Linked DNA regions of Tamandua tetradactyla. The protein of the gene in region 2 purifies or fractionates together with the protein of the main gene of each other region. This does not show direct contact. Links are inferred from orthologs where the notes say so. Each region holds a gene or a part of one and is shown on either strand. Other genes may lie near its edges.

Region 1 (8,082 bases), on a different chromosome or scaffold from region 2:
GATCCAGTTGTGGTGTCCACACACCAGGCGCACCATGCCGGGCTCCTCCGGCAGCCCTGGGGTGGGGGGAGTGTAGGGATCAGGGTATAGGGCCACAGGGACCCGCCGGTGGCCACAGACAGAAACATACCTGAGGGGGCAGGGGGGGCTTTCTCCTCTAACATGCGGCCTAGCAGCCCTGCGTTGCCCAGGTTGGGGGGCATCGTGTTGCTCCGTCGAACAGGGGCTGGGCGTCCTCCCGCCTGCTGGGGCCCCACCAGGCTGTGCCGGTTTCGCCGCTTCACCGGGAACACTAACGGGGGCAGGGGGAGAAGAGGCAGAGTGACAGCCATTGTCATTAATGCTACCACATAGCAAGCACTCAGAATATGTCAGATGCTGATTTCCCCAGGTGTGCAGCCCAGTCCCTGGAGAAAAGGCTTTAGACAGGATGGATGTGGTACTCAGCACTGCTCACATAGGAAGACTCTGTGTAGTGTTGCTGTGATATTAATGCCTCTTCAATATCTGCTAATCTTCCCTTTTAGTCAATGGACAGCAACCCCCAGGCTAAGGCAGAGTTTATTAACACTGTCATGTGTAGTTTTTATTTTCATATTTACTTTATATTTATGGTAGATAGGTAGTGATACAAAGTTTCCATTTAAAACACCTTTAAAAAAAAGCAAGTAAAACTAAATTAAGAAATAATACTCTAGGTCTTTATATTTGGCAAATTTCATGAAGGTAGTAGGTCATGACTGAGGTTGATAAAAGAAAGCTGTAAGTTGCAATTGCCCCACTCTGTTCCTTCTACAAAGCAACAGAGCCCAGTGGACTACAGTTCCCAATAACCCCTGGGCCATATTTTCCACGATCAGTGGGCTGGCTGCTCCAGGATCTCGTGGGGTTTATAGTCAATAATGACCCTTTACTTTTTCTCTCCTCCATACGAAGGACCCCAGTTCCTCCTAAGCCAGCCCACCAAGAAATCACACCTGGACTATAACTCCCATCGGGCCCCTGGGCCTGCTTCTGAGCCTCAGGAAGGACTAGCTGGCCCCCTGCCTCATGGAAAATGCAATTTCCTATTTCCTCTCCAAGCAGCCAACCCTATCAAAACTACAATTCCCATCAGGTCACAGGGCTCACAGCACAGCCATTCAAGGGCTGAGACCTTATGGGAAATGTAGTCTTTAATCCACACACCCCCATCCTTAGGCATGCCCACCTGGTGGGGGCAGGTAACCGTTGAAGAGGACGTTTCCACAGGAAGATCGATCCAGCTCCTCCCGCAGCTGCAGGCGGCGAACTGAGAGGGAACAACTTGAGGGGTACTGAGGCACACCCCTTTCCCCATTCCCAACTCTTCCTCCATCATTCCACTCAGACTCGGGGCCTAATCCAGTGCGATCAGCTCTAACCCAACCCTCTATGACAAGGGAGTGGGAAGAGGGCCCGGGAGGATTTAGAGAGAATCGCTGGCTGCCTTTCGGTGTGGATGAGGATGCTAGTTGGGGCCTTACTTACCCAGAGGAGTGAGCCCATAGAACTGGGCTTCATGGAGGAGGCTGGAACCGTGGACACCCCTGGGTAGTAGAATTGACTAAGTGTCAAAGTCTGGGGGATGAGGAGGGTGGGAGTGGGGGCAAGCAGAGAATGCTGAGAAGGAAGTTTTCAAAACTGCGCAGAGAATCCCTAGGAGCAGAGAATTCTGACAGGATAGAGATTCTAAGCCGAGAAGATATGAGCACCAAAAATGTGGGGTTGGTGTTGTGGGAAATACAATGTCAAGATCACTGAGGTTCTAAACGAGAATTCTACTAGGGTCAAACTTAAGTGAAAATTCTGAGGAAGAGAAAAGACTTTTTAGGAAATGGAGACAGTAGGGTACCCCTTCCCCTTCCCCTCCATGCTAACCTCGGGTCCAACTCTTTGGTGCGCAGGAAGTTGAGGATGGGGGCAAAGACGGTGGGGTCCCTGTCGATAAAGATCTGCGGGAGAGGAGGCAGCTGATGGGCGAGGCAACGAGCAGGGCTGAGTCGGGGGTCCTGCCCCGCTTCCTTACCGACTGTCCCATTCCATCCCTTATTCGACTCACCGCTCCAGTCTCATCTTTTAGAGTGGAGATGCGCCCGCTCAGAAGACTGCAGGGAGGGGACGCAGAGCAGGTGTCATGGGCTGGAGCGGGGAGGGGTGTTAGGTCTCCCCACCCCCTTCCTTCGCTTCCCCCCAACTCCTCCCAAACTCGCTCTCCCCATCACCTGGAGAAGAAGGAGTCTGGGATCCAGGTGAGGGTCTGGCGGGAGGTACTGAATCTGGGAACGGGAGTGGGGAGGTGGGAGAGTGAGCGGCCGCGTGAGATGACAGTGGGAGGAGCAGAGATGCAGGGCCCCCTCCCCTAGGATAGGGGAAGCTTCCCGCCGCTTCCCGGAAGCTTTTCCAGCCTCTCGCGCCTCCAGCAGTGGGGCGGAGCAATCATTGATGGACAGGGATTCCCCCCTGGAGAGGCGGGCACTCCCACCCCGCCCCCCCGCCCTCGAGGTGGGGCTTCAGGACGACCCCCCACACACACACACACTCACCTCTTGCCTCCCACGTTCAAATGAATCACCTCTCCGAGAGATGCCCGACGCGGGGCCCCCTCAGCAGCAGTACTTGCTGCTGCCATGGCCCCCGGACGAGCCGGCCGGCCTACGCCCGCTTCCGGGTGTGCGTCCGGACTCCGCCCCCTCCGCGTGTACATTGGGCCGGTGGCTCCCGGAGGCGCGGTGATTGGGCAGGACGTAACTTAATCGCAGCTAATAGCTCAGCCTCCTTAAAGGGGCCCGCCTTTCCTGGCCTGGACGGGGCGGGCAGGGCGGCTTCCTGAGGGAAGTTCAGTTGCTGAAGAATAACAAAACATTCTCTCTTCCCCTCCCAGGGTCCCCGTTTTAGGTATAGCATTTAGGTGATCCGTCGGAGACCCTGAAATTAATCCTTATCACGGGAGACATAGCATCACGGTCCCTCCCACAGCCCTCGCCCCATTCCTCCCCTGTTGCCCAGGAAACGCGGACAAACCAGCAGAGACCGTCAAAGCCAAAGGGTTTATTATAGGTACAGTGTGCGCCAGCCACACCGCCCCACACCCCCGCGCCCCAGTGACTTCTCCTGGGGGCCATGCGGTTTACTCACGACCCTGGTCCCCCCCCCCGCCCCCCAGGAGGTGCTCCAGCCAGAAGCATGCAGGGGGAGAGCCCCCCCTCGCCCCTCCCCTCATGATGGGGCATTTAGAGCTGGAGGGGGGAGGAGAGAGGAAGACAGTTTTGAGCTTTGACACCCCTCCCATTTAAAGCCTTCAGGATACGGGGTGGGAGAGGAGGAGGTCGACGTTTTGCAAAAAAAAATAAGGAATTAACCGCATGGCTCTGAGGCAGCAGAGTGCAGGAGCTAGGGCCCCCTTCACTCCCCCCTCCCAGACAAAGATCAAGGCAGCTTTGGAAGTGAGGTAAAGGTGGGGAGGGGGTGCCCCCTCCCCACCCCCTAGCACCCTGGACGGTCCAGGGGACCTCACCAGCGCCCCCCCCCGTTCCCACCCCTAGGGCAGAGGGGGGGGCAGGAATGACTGCCCCCCAACTCCAGCTCCTTGAGGCAAGATCTGGGGGTCGGGGCAGGGGGCTTGGCTCAACTGGCCCCCCTCCCCGCCCCCCCCCCAAGCTCAGTTATTGCATAAAAATAATAGAGCCCCAGCACCTGGGGTGGGGGTGGCGAGCGGGAAGGGGCCGAGATATGGCTATAGGGGCAGGATAAGTCCCCTCCTTGCCAGCGCCCGTCATGCCGCATCCACATCCGCAGTGTTGGAACTAGGGGTTCCAGACCCAGGCGCAAGAGAAAGAGTCTTTGTGCCCACGATGCAGAGAGGAGAGGGAGGGAGACACATCAGGCCCCGGGGCTGGGGAGTCACTTTCGGCGCCCGCTGGCCCTGCGTTCCCCAGCCTCTCGCCTGGGGTTGCCCTCGTCTGTGGAGGACGTGGTGGGTAGTGTCTGGCCCCAGCGCGCAATCTCGGCATGTTCGGCCACCGATGTGGCCACTGCGTCCAGCCAGCCATTCATCTCCTCCTAGGGGGAGAAATGGATAACTGGGTCGATATTGGGAGGAGAGGAGCTCCAGTAGTAGATAAGTCTGGAATCAGACTGCTCTCTCTGAACCTGTTTTCTCATCTGTTAAATGGGATGATGATAATAATGCAATTACAGAGCAGTCACCATATATATGCAAAGCTCTTTTCTAAGTACTTGGTGGATTAAATTGCTTAATCCTAAATACCTGCAACAGGTATTATTATAATAATTCCCATATGGAGATAACAGAAAACCCAAGGTGATACAGTGGCAGACAACACTTAGATTTACTAGGCATGTGCCAAGTGGTCTACATGTATCCATTCATTTAATTCTCACAATGACCCTATAATGAGGAATTATTTTTTATCTGCATTGTACAGATAAGTAAAATAAGGCCTGCTTCATAGCCTCCTGTGAGGACTGAATGTGATAAATGTTTCTGTTCACATCATCTCTTCAAGCCAGATCTATGCCTGTTCCTTCACACACACACACCCCCAGGAATTCTGAACTCCTGCGGAGATCCACTCAGATTCTTGTTTCTTGTGCTACCCTCTCCCCTCCCCACAGGCCTGTCCCATCCAGCTGTCTCCTCTTCCACTTGGGACCCTATGCTGGCTGCATCCTGGGCTCCTGACCTCCACCCTCGCCTCCTCCTACCTTCCCTGCAAGTAGCAGCCAGAGAGACCTTTTCTTATGCATTACTGTAGCCCTCCTTGGCTCAAAGCCCTGCCGTGGCTCTCCAGTGCTTCCGGGACAAGTCCAACCTCCAAATGGCAACAACATCTTGCGAGATCTGGCCACCCTATAAGAATGTTTCTGGAGCCTTCCTTCTTGAACTCTGTCCTCCAGCACAGTTAAACTTTTGTAATTCCATACCTCTGGTCCTTTGCACTTGCAGGTCTTTCTGCCTGGCTCACCCCTGCAACTCCTTTTTAGCTGACTCCTCTTGTCTTTCTAGTTGCATCTTGGGGCCAAGGGAAGGCGTTGGACTGAGGGCCTCCAGGCAGTCTTCCCCGTCTCCCATCTTCTTTCCTACCCCCAACCCCCTCCCACCCCAGGCTGGGTCAGGAACCTCCTCTAACCCATTTCATAGCCCATGGGCTTCCCCATCGCAGCTCTTGTAGCTCTGGCTTGTGCTTCTCCTATCACAGTCCCATCACTTGGCCCAGGAGCCAGCTAGGTCATTCCTGAAGCCCACATAGGGGAGGGAAAGGTCCAGATCTCACCTCGTCTTTAGCCTGGAGCAAAAACTCGCTGCCATCCTGGGTCCTGCAGTAGGGGACACAGGAATTGGGGGACCTGGGGCAGGGGCACGGACTACTCACCCACCACCCATCCTACAGGAGACCCAGGATACTACTGGAAGGGGGAAGCTGGGCCTCGGATGCCCTCCCATCCCCTGTCCATTGGGGGGGGGGCTCACTGGAGCTTGAAGACATGCTTCTTTTTCTTGTAGTCACTGGCCACCTCACTGGTGGCCTTGTGCAGACTGAGCAGTGGCTCCCCGCCATGTGTGCCCCCCGATGCCGGGCCCTTGGAGTCCTTGTAGAAGCCCAGCTCCCCCTTGCTGAGCACGCAGTACAGGCTCACCCATGACCTGGGGCAATGAGACAGGGCTCAAGGCAGAGCTCCAGCACTGCCTGAGTGTGCTTCACTAACACCCTTCCTGGGCTGAACATGCCAAAGCTGAGCCCTATGTCGGGGTGCTTTTCCTTTTGGCTGTTCCTAGAGCTGAGAGGAGCGACTGGCCCTGGCTGGCCCTCCCTCTCATACTGAATTTCCTGAGGGCAAGATTTAAGCCTTCTCCTCCTAAAAGTTTACTCAGGCCAGTTCCCTGGCCCCAAAACAACCTTATTATAATACTCCTCCTCCACCCCCAGAGTTCCATGAAGGAAGACCTATTAGTCTGCTATACAGAAAGAGGCATTTCTGTCTCCCCACCCACCCCCATCCCCAACCCAAGAGGAAATCCCCCAAGAGCAAATTACACTGAGGTGGCCCTATTTATCCCCTCCTTGGCTCAGGGACAAGGAGGAAAGACTACCCCCAGTTCCCGCCAGCAAAATCTCAAGCAGTCTTGCCCACTTGGCATCTTGCCTCTAAATCCCACTCCACTAGGTGGCCAGGGCTTCCCTTTTTTGGACCCACTTCTCTTGTCCAGCTGTCTCCCAGTTGGACAAAAGGGGGTTAGAGGACAAGGAGCTGGACTCCAAAGGTACACTGTTATACTGTTATACCGTGGGCCCGAGGTGGAGCCCTCCATTTGCCTCTCATCCAGCTCACCTATTGGACGCCCCGCCTTTTTTCAGATCTTCCCCTAATTAGAAACTTCAGGGCTGGAGCCACCCCACTCGCTGGTGGGATAACCTCTCCAGGCTCCACCTCACATGCCATTGGAACCTGCTGGCTAGGCCTCACCCCCATTTTGTCACTTAGCCTAGCCAACTCCAGGGCTGGTTGTTTTTGAGATTGGGCCACAATTTATCCACGACCGGAACCTTTTGCTCAGGTGCAACTCTCCCATTGGGTGCGCTAAATTTAGGCCCACTACTCCGCCTTAGCGAATTCCTTGAAGTTGAGCCCCGTCCCTCCTCAGCCCCGCCCACCTCCCCACCGGTTGGACGGCCGGAAGCTGGACCCCGCCCCTCCTCAGGCCGACCTACTCGGCCTGCCCTTGGTCCCGCCTTACAAAGCCCCGCCCAGCCCGCTCACCGGTTGGACGATTTGCGATTGGCGTCGAGTTCGCGCTTGCGCAGCAGGAAGCCCTCGTGCTGCACGGTGTGAGTGGGTGGGGGCGGTGGCGCAGGGGCGGAGCCTCCCTGGGCCGGGGCCGAGCGCGAGCGCCGGCTTCCCCCGCCCTCACCACCCTCTCGCGGCCGTGGCCGCCGTCGCGGTTTGGGCCGGTCCCGCGCCCGCGGCCTGTCCGGCCGAGGTGTCCGCTCGGGCGGCTCAAGCCCGTTGGGCAGGCGGCCGGGGGGAAGCTCGCGAGGCTGAGGCAGCGACGGCTGTGTGAAAGGAGGGGGAAAGGCGTGCTGTCCAAGGGAGGTTCATGAGCCCGCGGATCCCCTCTATCTGCGGTTCGTCTGTCTTGGAGGGGAGCCTGGGGGGACCTCAGGGCTAGAAGGCCAAATCCTCGGGGCCCCACTCGTCTCGGGAGTGAGTCTGTCAGGATTCATAGAGTTGGAATCCCCCTTTATCGGGAAGATAAGGTGCACCGGGAGGAGCGCCTGTCTGGAGGAGGCTGATCTATGGGAGCTGTGTTTAGCAGGAATCTGGGGTTTCCTTCTGTGTGTGTAGGTGGGAGGAGGGAATGTCAGGACTCCCCACACCGCTACCCGGCCCATTTGTCTGTTAGGAAGTTTGGGACCCCACTGGGCTGTGGAGAAATACGGAGTCCAGCATAGTTGTAAGAAAAGTCTGGTGAGCCTGTTTGTTCAGGTCTGGGAGAGTGTCTCTGCATCTCAGGTCAGGCAGGGAAGGAGGGCATCTTTCTAAGGGAGAAGTCAGATTGTGGGGGGCTTCTAAGGGCCTTCACTATCCTTTGGAGTCTGTGGTGTCTCAGCAGGGTCCATGTGGGGCACTGACCCCTGCCCTGAGAAGGCCCCTGTGCCCTCACCTATCCCAAGACCCAACTTACCCCAACAGGGAGCCCTGGACCCGCCTCTTTCTCCTGCAGCTGTTCCACAATGTCAGCCAGCGTGGCCTTCCTGGAGAGGGAGTGGGCAGGGAGAAAGACACGATGGAATTGGGTGTCTTCTGGGTGTCCAACCTGGCTAACCAAGGAGCCTCCTGCACGTATTAGCCTGGAATGTGCAGCCCGTGTCCACTTCTGCAGCGGTCTCACAGATGCCAGCCTTACACACTGCAGAGGCCTGGGACATGTCTGCTGAATGGAGGACTGCACATCTCCGCTTTGAGTTTTAAGCAGCACAGAGAACAAAATGCAAACTACCTTCACTGCCTTTTTTCACCCCTTGAGCTCCCAAGCTCATT
Region 2 (7,212 bases):
CTCTGACAATAAATATAAATTTAGACCTTACTCACAATTTCTAATTGCTCTGCTGCTCGCTTCTGACCTCTTCCCATGGGATCTCACCCCAAGGCTGGGCACTCGCCTGCTCTTCATTCTCCAGAGCCTCGCTGATTCTGGGCTTAGCACTCCGTAAACCTTATAAAGCTGAGAGACCAACCCAAAGAAATTAAAATGACAATTTCTTTGTAATTAGAAACATGATCAGTGACCTGTCATCAGAGTCCCTAAATCCCACTGGCCATGCCCTTTCACAATATCTCCTGGGGCTCTCTCCTCTTTTATCTTCTTGCCTTTGAGTCGTAGGACTCCCAGCGACCTTCTCTCTGGCATCACCAGAGGACATTTTTTTTTTTTTTTTTTGGAGGTGCATGGTCCAGGAATCGAACCCGCATGAAAGGCGAGCATTTGTATCACTAAACCACCCGGGCACCCTAGAGGAAATTTTTGATGATTTAAATTCAGTCTCTGAGAAGCCCCTAGCCCGAGATGCAGGATTTCCATCTTTTCTAAATATTCTTTTTTTTTTTTTTAATTGTACTGGGGTGAAATTTACATGACATGAAATTAACCATTTTAAAGTGAACAATTCAGTGACATTTCGTACACTCACAATGCTGTGCAACCATCAGCTCTATCTAGTTACAAAACATTTCCATCGCTCCAAAATTAACCCCCTTGTCCATTAAGCAGTTTCTCTCCACTCCCCTCTCCTCCCACCTCCTGGCAACCATCAGGCTGCATTCTGTCGCTAAGGCAATTACCTGTTCTGAAAAGGTAGTTACTTTTTCTGGATATTTCATATAAATGGAGTAAGGCAATAGGTGATATTTTGTGTCTGGCTTCTTTCCCTTAGCATAACGTTTTCTAGAGTCATCCATGCTGTAGCATGCATCTGCGCTTCATTCTTTTGTACAACTGAACAATAGCCACTGTATATGGATATAACACATTTGTTGATCCATCCTTCTCTTGATGGACATGTGGGCTATTTCCGTCTTTTGGCTATCATGAATAGTGCTTCTATGAACATGTGTGTACATGAATTTGTTTGAGTGCCGGTTTTTAGTTCTTTGGGATAAATACCTAGGAGTGGAATTGCTGGATCATATATATGATAGTCTATGTTTAACTTTTAGAGGTACATCCAAACGCCTTTACCTGACAATATTTACCATTTCAGTCCCAACATTTTCATTTGGACCACCGCTCACCCCCAAGGAGAAGAGTGAGTGGGTGTCTGACCAACAGCTACACAACAAACAGGCCTCACCTCCCAGAATAAAGGGATTAGGTAGGTGAGGCAGAGTCTCTTCTCCTGGAGAGAAATTATTTATGGTTAAACAAAGCACAACATAAAAAAACAAGAGTGAAAAAAAAACCAAACCTAAAACATTTTTCCCCAATTCAAGTCATTGTGTATCAGCGTTATAAAGTTCATTCTTAGTTGCTCAGCTACACATCTCTCGCTTCTACACAAACATCACACACTCTCACATAGAAAGACACACATGATTTACTGTATCCTCTACACACACTCCAAACTACACACTTATGCATACACAGTCCCAAGCAGATGCCACCATCTCCCATCTAGGGACATCATCACCATGCCCCATTCCCTGCAAAGATAAACCACACACAAACACAAACAAACAGCGCACAAGCACACAGACTCTCCATACGCTCCTCACACCTCACACACAAATACATGCCCTGCAGCACTCACACACTACATACTGCACCTTTCCACCATGTACCACACAGTCTGTACACTACCCAGTACACTGACACACACACTGACAAGTGTGACAGCACACACCAGTCACAAAGCACACACGGCACTACCCAGACCTTCTGACATGGTGCACATCCATACCTTCAGCACACCACAAAATAATGCCCCCGTCGTGACTCCTTTTTCTAGCTAGCTAAACCCCAAGTTCTCTCACTTCAATTACTCTCTCGCCATTATTTTCAGCTTGTGTGATTCCTCTGTAGGGGACTTAGCAAAAGCCCGACATGGGTTCATTCCCATTCTTGGCCGTCTTTGTGCCTGAATCTGGCTGCTGAATCCTGTACCCAACCTTGCTGATTGAGACCACCAGAAATTTATGGTTTCTGACATAAACTCTTGCTGCCTGCCATTATAGTTTTCCCTTTCCCATTTTTTCTTATGCAGAATGAAAGTTCCTCTCAGCACAACTGTTTCATGGTGGCCTTTGTAACTAGACACAACATGGTTCTATTCCTGGACAAAGCTCATCGGTTTGGAAGACTTAACCTCCCTTTCTTTGTAAATAGAACTCAGTGTGGTTGCAAAAATTAAGTATTAAAAAATCTATCTATCTATGTATATAAAATGCCAAACCAAAGCCCAGCATCCAGTAGGTAAAAAAAAGAAAAAGTTAATTGAAGTAATAAAACAAATTAAATTAGGGCAGGTAGAAACTATGTCTGTCTAGTGAAATAATTTTTGACTAGTGCAGGCTCAGATATATTCCCTCCTTTGGCTCTAGTCTCAGGGGACAGCTGCCTGCCTCAGCTCATTCAAGTCCTCCACGTTAGAACTACTGACCGTCAGCTGAAGGGCTCGGTATCCAGATCCATCGGGAAGCTAGAGTTGTTCTAACTGCAGAACCCCAGTCCTGTAGGGCTTCTTGCCTTGTTTCTCCATATCTTCTTGGTCCCCATGTTCTCAGTGTCCAGGTCCCTTGCTTTGTTTCCTCTGTCATAGCAACTCTCAGCAATCCACTTCCTGTCCTATTACTCACCTGTGTAAGTGTTTCCATGGCTCCTGTTGCCTTCAGGATGAAGTCCCAGCTTTCCTGGACTAGCACAGGCAGCTCTCTTGCCAGCTTCTCTAGCTTCCTCTCCTATTACCTATAGACGTCCCACCCAACTCCTGTTCCTGGTTTATACCACGACAATTTATACCTGCTTGTATATCCTATTCTTGTTTCCCTGCTGTTGTTCACACTGTCCTTGCTGCCTGAAATACCTTCATCCCTGACTGTATCTGGCTCACCTGGTGAACTCCTAATCACCCCTTCCAGAAATGTCCCCAACATGGTGTAGCCAGATCAGTGGCCTTCCTCTGTGCTCTGAAAACAAAAACTCTTTCCTGATGTGTTTCCTGACGTTGCTCCTCTTTCCAGGCTGTATTAGAATTATTGCTTGCATGTCTGGCTTCCTCATTGGATTACAAGTTGCTTAACTTATTCAACTTTGTATTCCTGGAGCTTAAAAGGTACTCAATGTATGTTTGTTGAATGAACAAACACAAGTGTTTGCAGAAGAAGGTCCTTGTTATTAGCTGTTAAACTCTTTTCATACCACCTAACTCAGTGGCTAAGATCTCTTCTTATAGTTTCCTCTTGGACCTCTACTGATCACTTCTTTCTCCTGAATAGATGGGAACCTGGAGCTTGGACTTAGTTTGAACTTTGGCTTGTGGAATTCACTTCCTGCCTCTCCCTTCTATTTTGGACTGGACTTCTGGTTTGGACTCAAATGTCTAACCTCTCCCTAGAAATCAGTGATCCTCTGTCACCTGGGTCTGTTTGAACTCCCAGGTCCAGCCCTCTCCATCCAGTTCTCAGCCCACCTTGTCTTGTCAAAAAAACCTTGTCACCTCCAAATGCTCTACCCTGGTTATAATTCATGGACATTAAGCAACTATTGTAAATTTTATCTGGCTATAATAACACTAGGACAAAAACCAGTCTTTGTACAGGACAAAACAACAGATCTGTGTATTTGTATGTCTCTGTGAAGTTTACAAGGTGCTTTAGTGTAATTTATTTCATTCTATCTTCATAATAACCTTTTGTGTTGGGTTATTATCCCCATTTTACAGATGAGGGAACTGAGGCTCAAAGTGGTTAAGTGACTCTCTAAAGGCCTCAGAACCAAACTTCATGGCCAGGGTGGGAGAGCGTGGACTTTTGTTCTTCTGACTCTGAGTCTTTGAACTCTTTGGTGTTCATCAAGATATTTAAACATTAGATATATCTGATGAAAAACAGAGATCCGATTGTGATGCTTAAGAACGTGTCCTCTCCAAATCCAACCTCTACTATTGTTAGCATGATTTTTCTAAAACTTAAATTGAGGTTAGAGTCTTCTGATCACAATTCTTCAGAAGACCCTGCTCCCTCATCTAGTTACATGGAGTACTGTTGAATCCCTGACCTCACTCTTTCCCATTTTAGCAACACTTACCACTTACCGTGCGTTGAAGGCCAACAATCGTTCATGTCTTGGTGCCCTTTGCCCTCATCTTCCACCCCCACCCCATCTGCCTTTTGCATGGCCAGCACGTCTTTATTATCCAGCTCAAGTATCACCTCTACTCCAGAGCTATTTCTAACATATCCCCATCCCCACTGTCCTTCCTACTTCCTTTATTGAGTCATTGAGTAAGTCACATACTTTTGTCCCAGCACCTCTTACTCTGTGAATTATTGTCTTGACTGTTTATCTGCCTCCCTCTGAAGACCTCAGTATTCTTAGAGGTTAAAAATGGGACCCAATTCATGGTTACACACAGTACTTAGTACAAAACCCAGCAAAGAGTAAAAATTCAATAGATGTTTGTTGAGTGGAGGGATGGGTAGATGGATAGATGCAGTAGTGAACTTTTTTATTTTTTATTTTGCTCGGGCAGGCACCGGGAGATGAACCTGGGTCTCCTGCATGGCAGGTGAGAACTCTGCCACTGAGCCACCGTGACCCACCCAGTAGTAAACTTTTAATTGTCACTTTAAATCCATTTATTTGAGTGTATTTCCTCCTCTTCCTTTATTTTCTTAGTGACAAAATAATAAAATTTATCCAATAGACTATAGGAAATAGGGTTGACTTCCTTCCCCTTTCTAACAGTAAGCTTATTGAGCTTTAGAGGAGTAAAAACGTGACTTGTTCCAATGACCTGCCCATGTGCCAATCATCTTTTTCTTAGGTTATTTTAACAACATTTCGATTGTTAGAAAGAACTCCTATTGAGCCTGAGTCTGCCTCCTGGAAACTTCAGCTCTTGGATCCAGGTTTAGCTTTTTGGACCTATATGAATGACTAATTCTCCTCCTTTGCAAGGTAGATTTTAGCATATGGGAACATGGCATACATTTTTCAAGATTCTTCTGCAAGTGGCCGAAAACCCATTCCAAACCAGGTAAATAAAAAAAAGTACCTTTATTGCTTCCCGTAAGCCAATTACAGAGCTATTCCCATGACTAATTAACCCAAGCACTTCCTACTCTCAGCTGGCCTCTGCTTGTGTTTGCTTCATTGTTTAAGCTCTTCCACATAGATGGGGATTACAAGTAGCACCATCTCTGCAATCACATCTTTTAACTCACAATCTAAGGGGAAAAAGACAAAAGGGCTGCACTTGGTTTAGCTTGGGTCATGCATCTGTTCCTGCACCTGGATGCGAGAGTATTGCACTTGAGATCCCCACCAGAATTACAAGGAATGGGAAGGAGCAGGTCCTCCCTCAAGCAGGAGAATGTGTTTCCAGAATAAGGAGGCACAGGATTCTGGTTAGACCAAAAATAGGGCATCTGTCATAGGCTGAATTCCCCTTACCTTTATGCCTTATTATTATTATTTTTAAGTGGAATTAAGGAGGAACCCAGACTTCTACCATCCTAGTTTTCTGTGGCTATGCTCAAGTTTGTCAAGATCCCTCTCAAACATGACCTTTTCTCTCCAATGGAATGTGTTGTTCCTCAAATGGGCTGGCCTGCACGGAACCCAACAGAGCCATTCCTTTACTTATTGGGAACATAGTTATTGCAGTGCCTGGCACATAGTAAATGCTTAATAAATAGTGAATGAATGAATGAAGGGATAAATGTAATTCTCAAGCCAATTCTGTCTAAACTTTGCTCTTAAAGGCAATTAAGGCAGCCCTTATGAAACCAATATGATATCACAAAGGAGACACTTAAAACCAGTTGGACTGAGAATGTGAGAATGCAGTGGGAGGAGACAGCTGGTAAACTTCTCCAGGTGCACCTGAGTTAACTGCTTCACGGGAGAGCTCTGTTCTCTGAACTGCATAGAAATGAACTGTTACTTCCCAAAGGCAGAAACACTGAGGGATGAAAATACATGCAAAATAAAAGGAAAAATAGAAAATAACAACTCTCCTAAAAAAAAAGCCTGCTTCCTTTCCTTTTTGGCTACAAGTGACAGAAAACTCAAAATGATACCAACCTAAATATAACAGGTCATTTCTTTATTATTTAAACAGTTCAGAGGTCAGAAGTCAAGGCTGTTATGGCAGCGCCACAATCACTGGGGTCCCAGGCTTGCTTTTCTTTCTCCACCGTCTTGTTTGTCCAAGTTGATGACTCAGGTTCCAACCAAAACATCAGCATTTGTTTCCAACAGGAGGGAGGAAGGGATGAAAGAAGAAAGAGAGTGAAGGCATGCTCAAGCTGTTTTTTATGATTTCAGAAAACTGCCACCAACTTCCATTTACATTTCACAGCTGGAACTTAGTTCAAGCTATGAAGGAGACTGGACAATATATTCCAAGGGGTTTTGTGCTCTGCTAATAGCTGGGAATTCTATCATTATGCAAGAGACAGGAAATGGATATTGGGATAGGCAACCAGGATCTCTGCTGATGCTGCTGGGAAGAAAAAGGAACAGGAAAATTTGGACATGTCCTGTTGTGATCGGTGCTAAGATCCTGGGAGGGGATTTTGTGAGAGAAGTCTTCAGTCCTTCCATCATGCTACTTCCAGAGGTGTCCTCCACAAAGCTAACCCAATGAGATCCAGGGCATGATCTTGGTTTCCTGTAAGCTAAACTCCTGGCACAGTATGTAAGACAATCTGTACCTGTCCCAGTTCCACCTCCCTAGCTTTAGCAACTTGCCACTCTCCTACATTACAGCCACACCCAACTCCTTGTCATTTCTAAACACACTGAGGCTGTTTCAGTTACCCTCCCTCTGTATATGCAGCAAATGGTTCCTGGAATGTACTTTCCTCCCTGGCTTTTCTGGAAATCTCCCCAATATCAAACTCTTGACTTGAAGCTCATCATCATCTGCTCCATGGTTCATGGTCCCTTCCTTTGTGTTTGCTCAAGTCTTCCTCAGATTTCACATATTTTATGGCCCTTATCTGGTAGCGTATTTTCACCACTGACTAAGCTGTTTAAAACACCAAT

What was found.
Region 1: the proteins of PTPN3 (region 2) and SHKBP1 purify together in Homo sapiens (affinity purification with mass spectrometry; 4 studies listed by BioGRID and IntAct, with this or other methods). This does not show direct contact. The link is inferred for Tamandua tetradactyla from reciprocal best matches to the Homo sapiens genes PTPN3 and SHKBP1.

The regions. Positions count from the first base shown.
Region 1 is NC_135342.1:23,558,932-23,567,013, forward strand, and holds the start of SHKBP1 (SH3KBP1-binding protein 1), read right to left. Parts: upstream 3,001-8,082; 5' UTR 2,726-3,000; coding exon 2,565-2,725; intron 2,298-2,564; coding exon 2,244-2,297; intron 2,127-2,243; coding exon 2,081-2,126; intron 1,974-2,080; coding exon 1,900-1,973; intron 1,569-1,899; coding exon 1,510-1,568; intron 1,292-1,509; coding exon 1,211-1,291; intron 293-1,210; coding exon 131-292; intron 57-130; coding exon 1-56. Other genes in the region: SPTBN4 (spectrin beta chain, non-erythrocytic 4), read right to left, coding at 3,922-4,080, 5,316-5,358, 5,513-5,686, 6,802-7,094, 7,727-7,796.
Region 2 is NC_135328.1:28,458,149-28,465,360, forward strand, and holds the start of PTPN3 (tyrosine-protein phosphatase non-receptor type 3), read right to left. Parts: upstream 3,072-7,212; 5' UTR 2,814-3,071; coding exon 2,600-2,813; intron 67-2,599; exon of another isoform or gene 36-66; intron 1-35.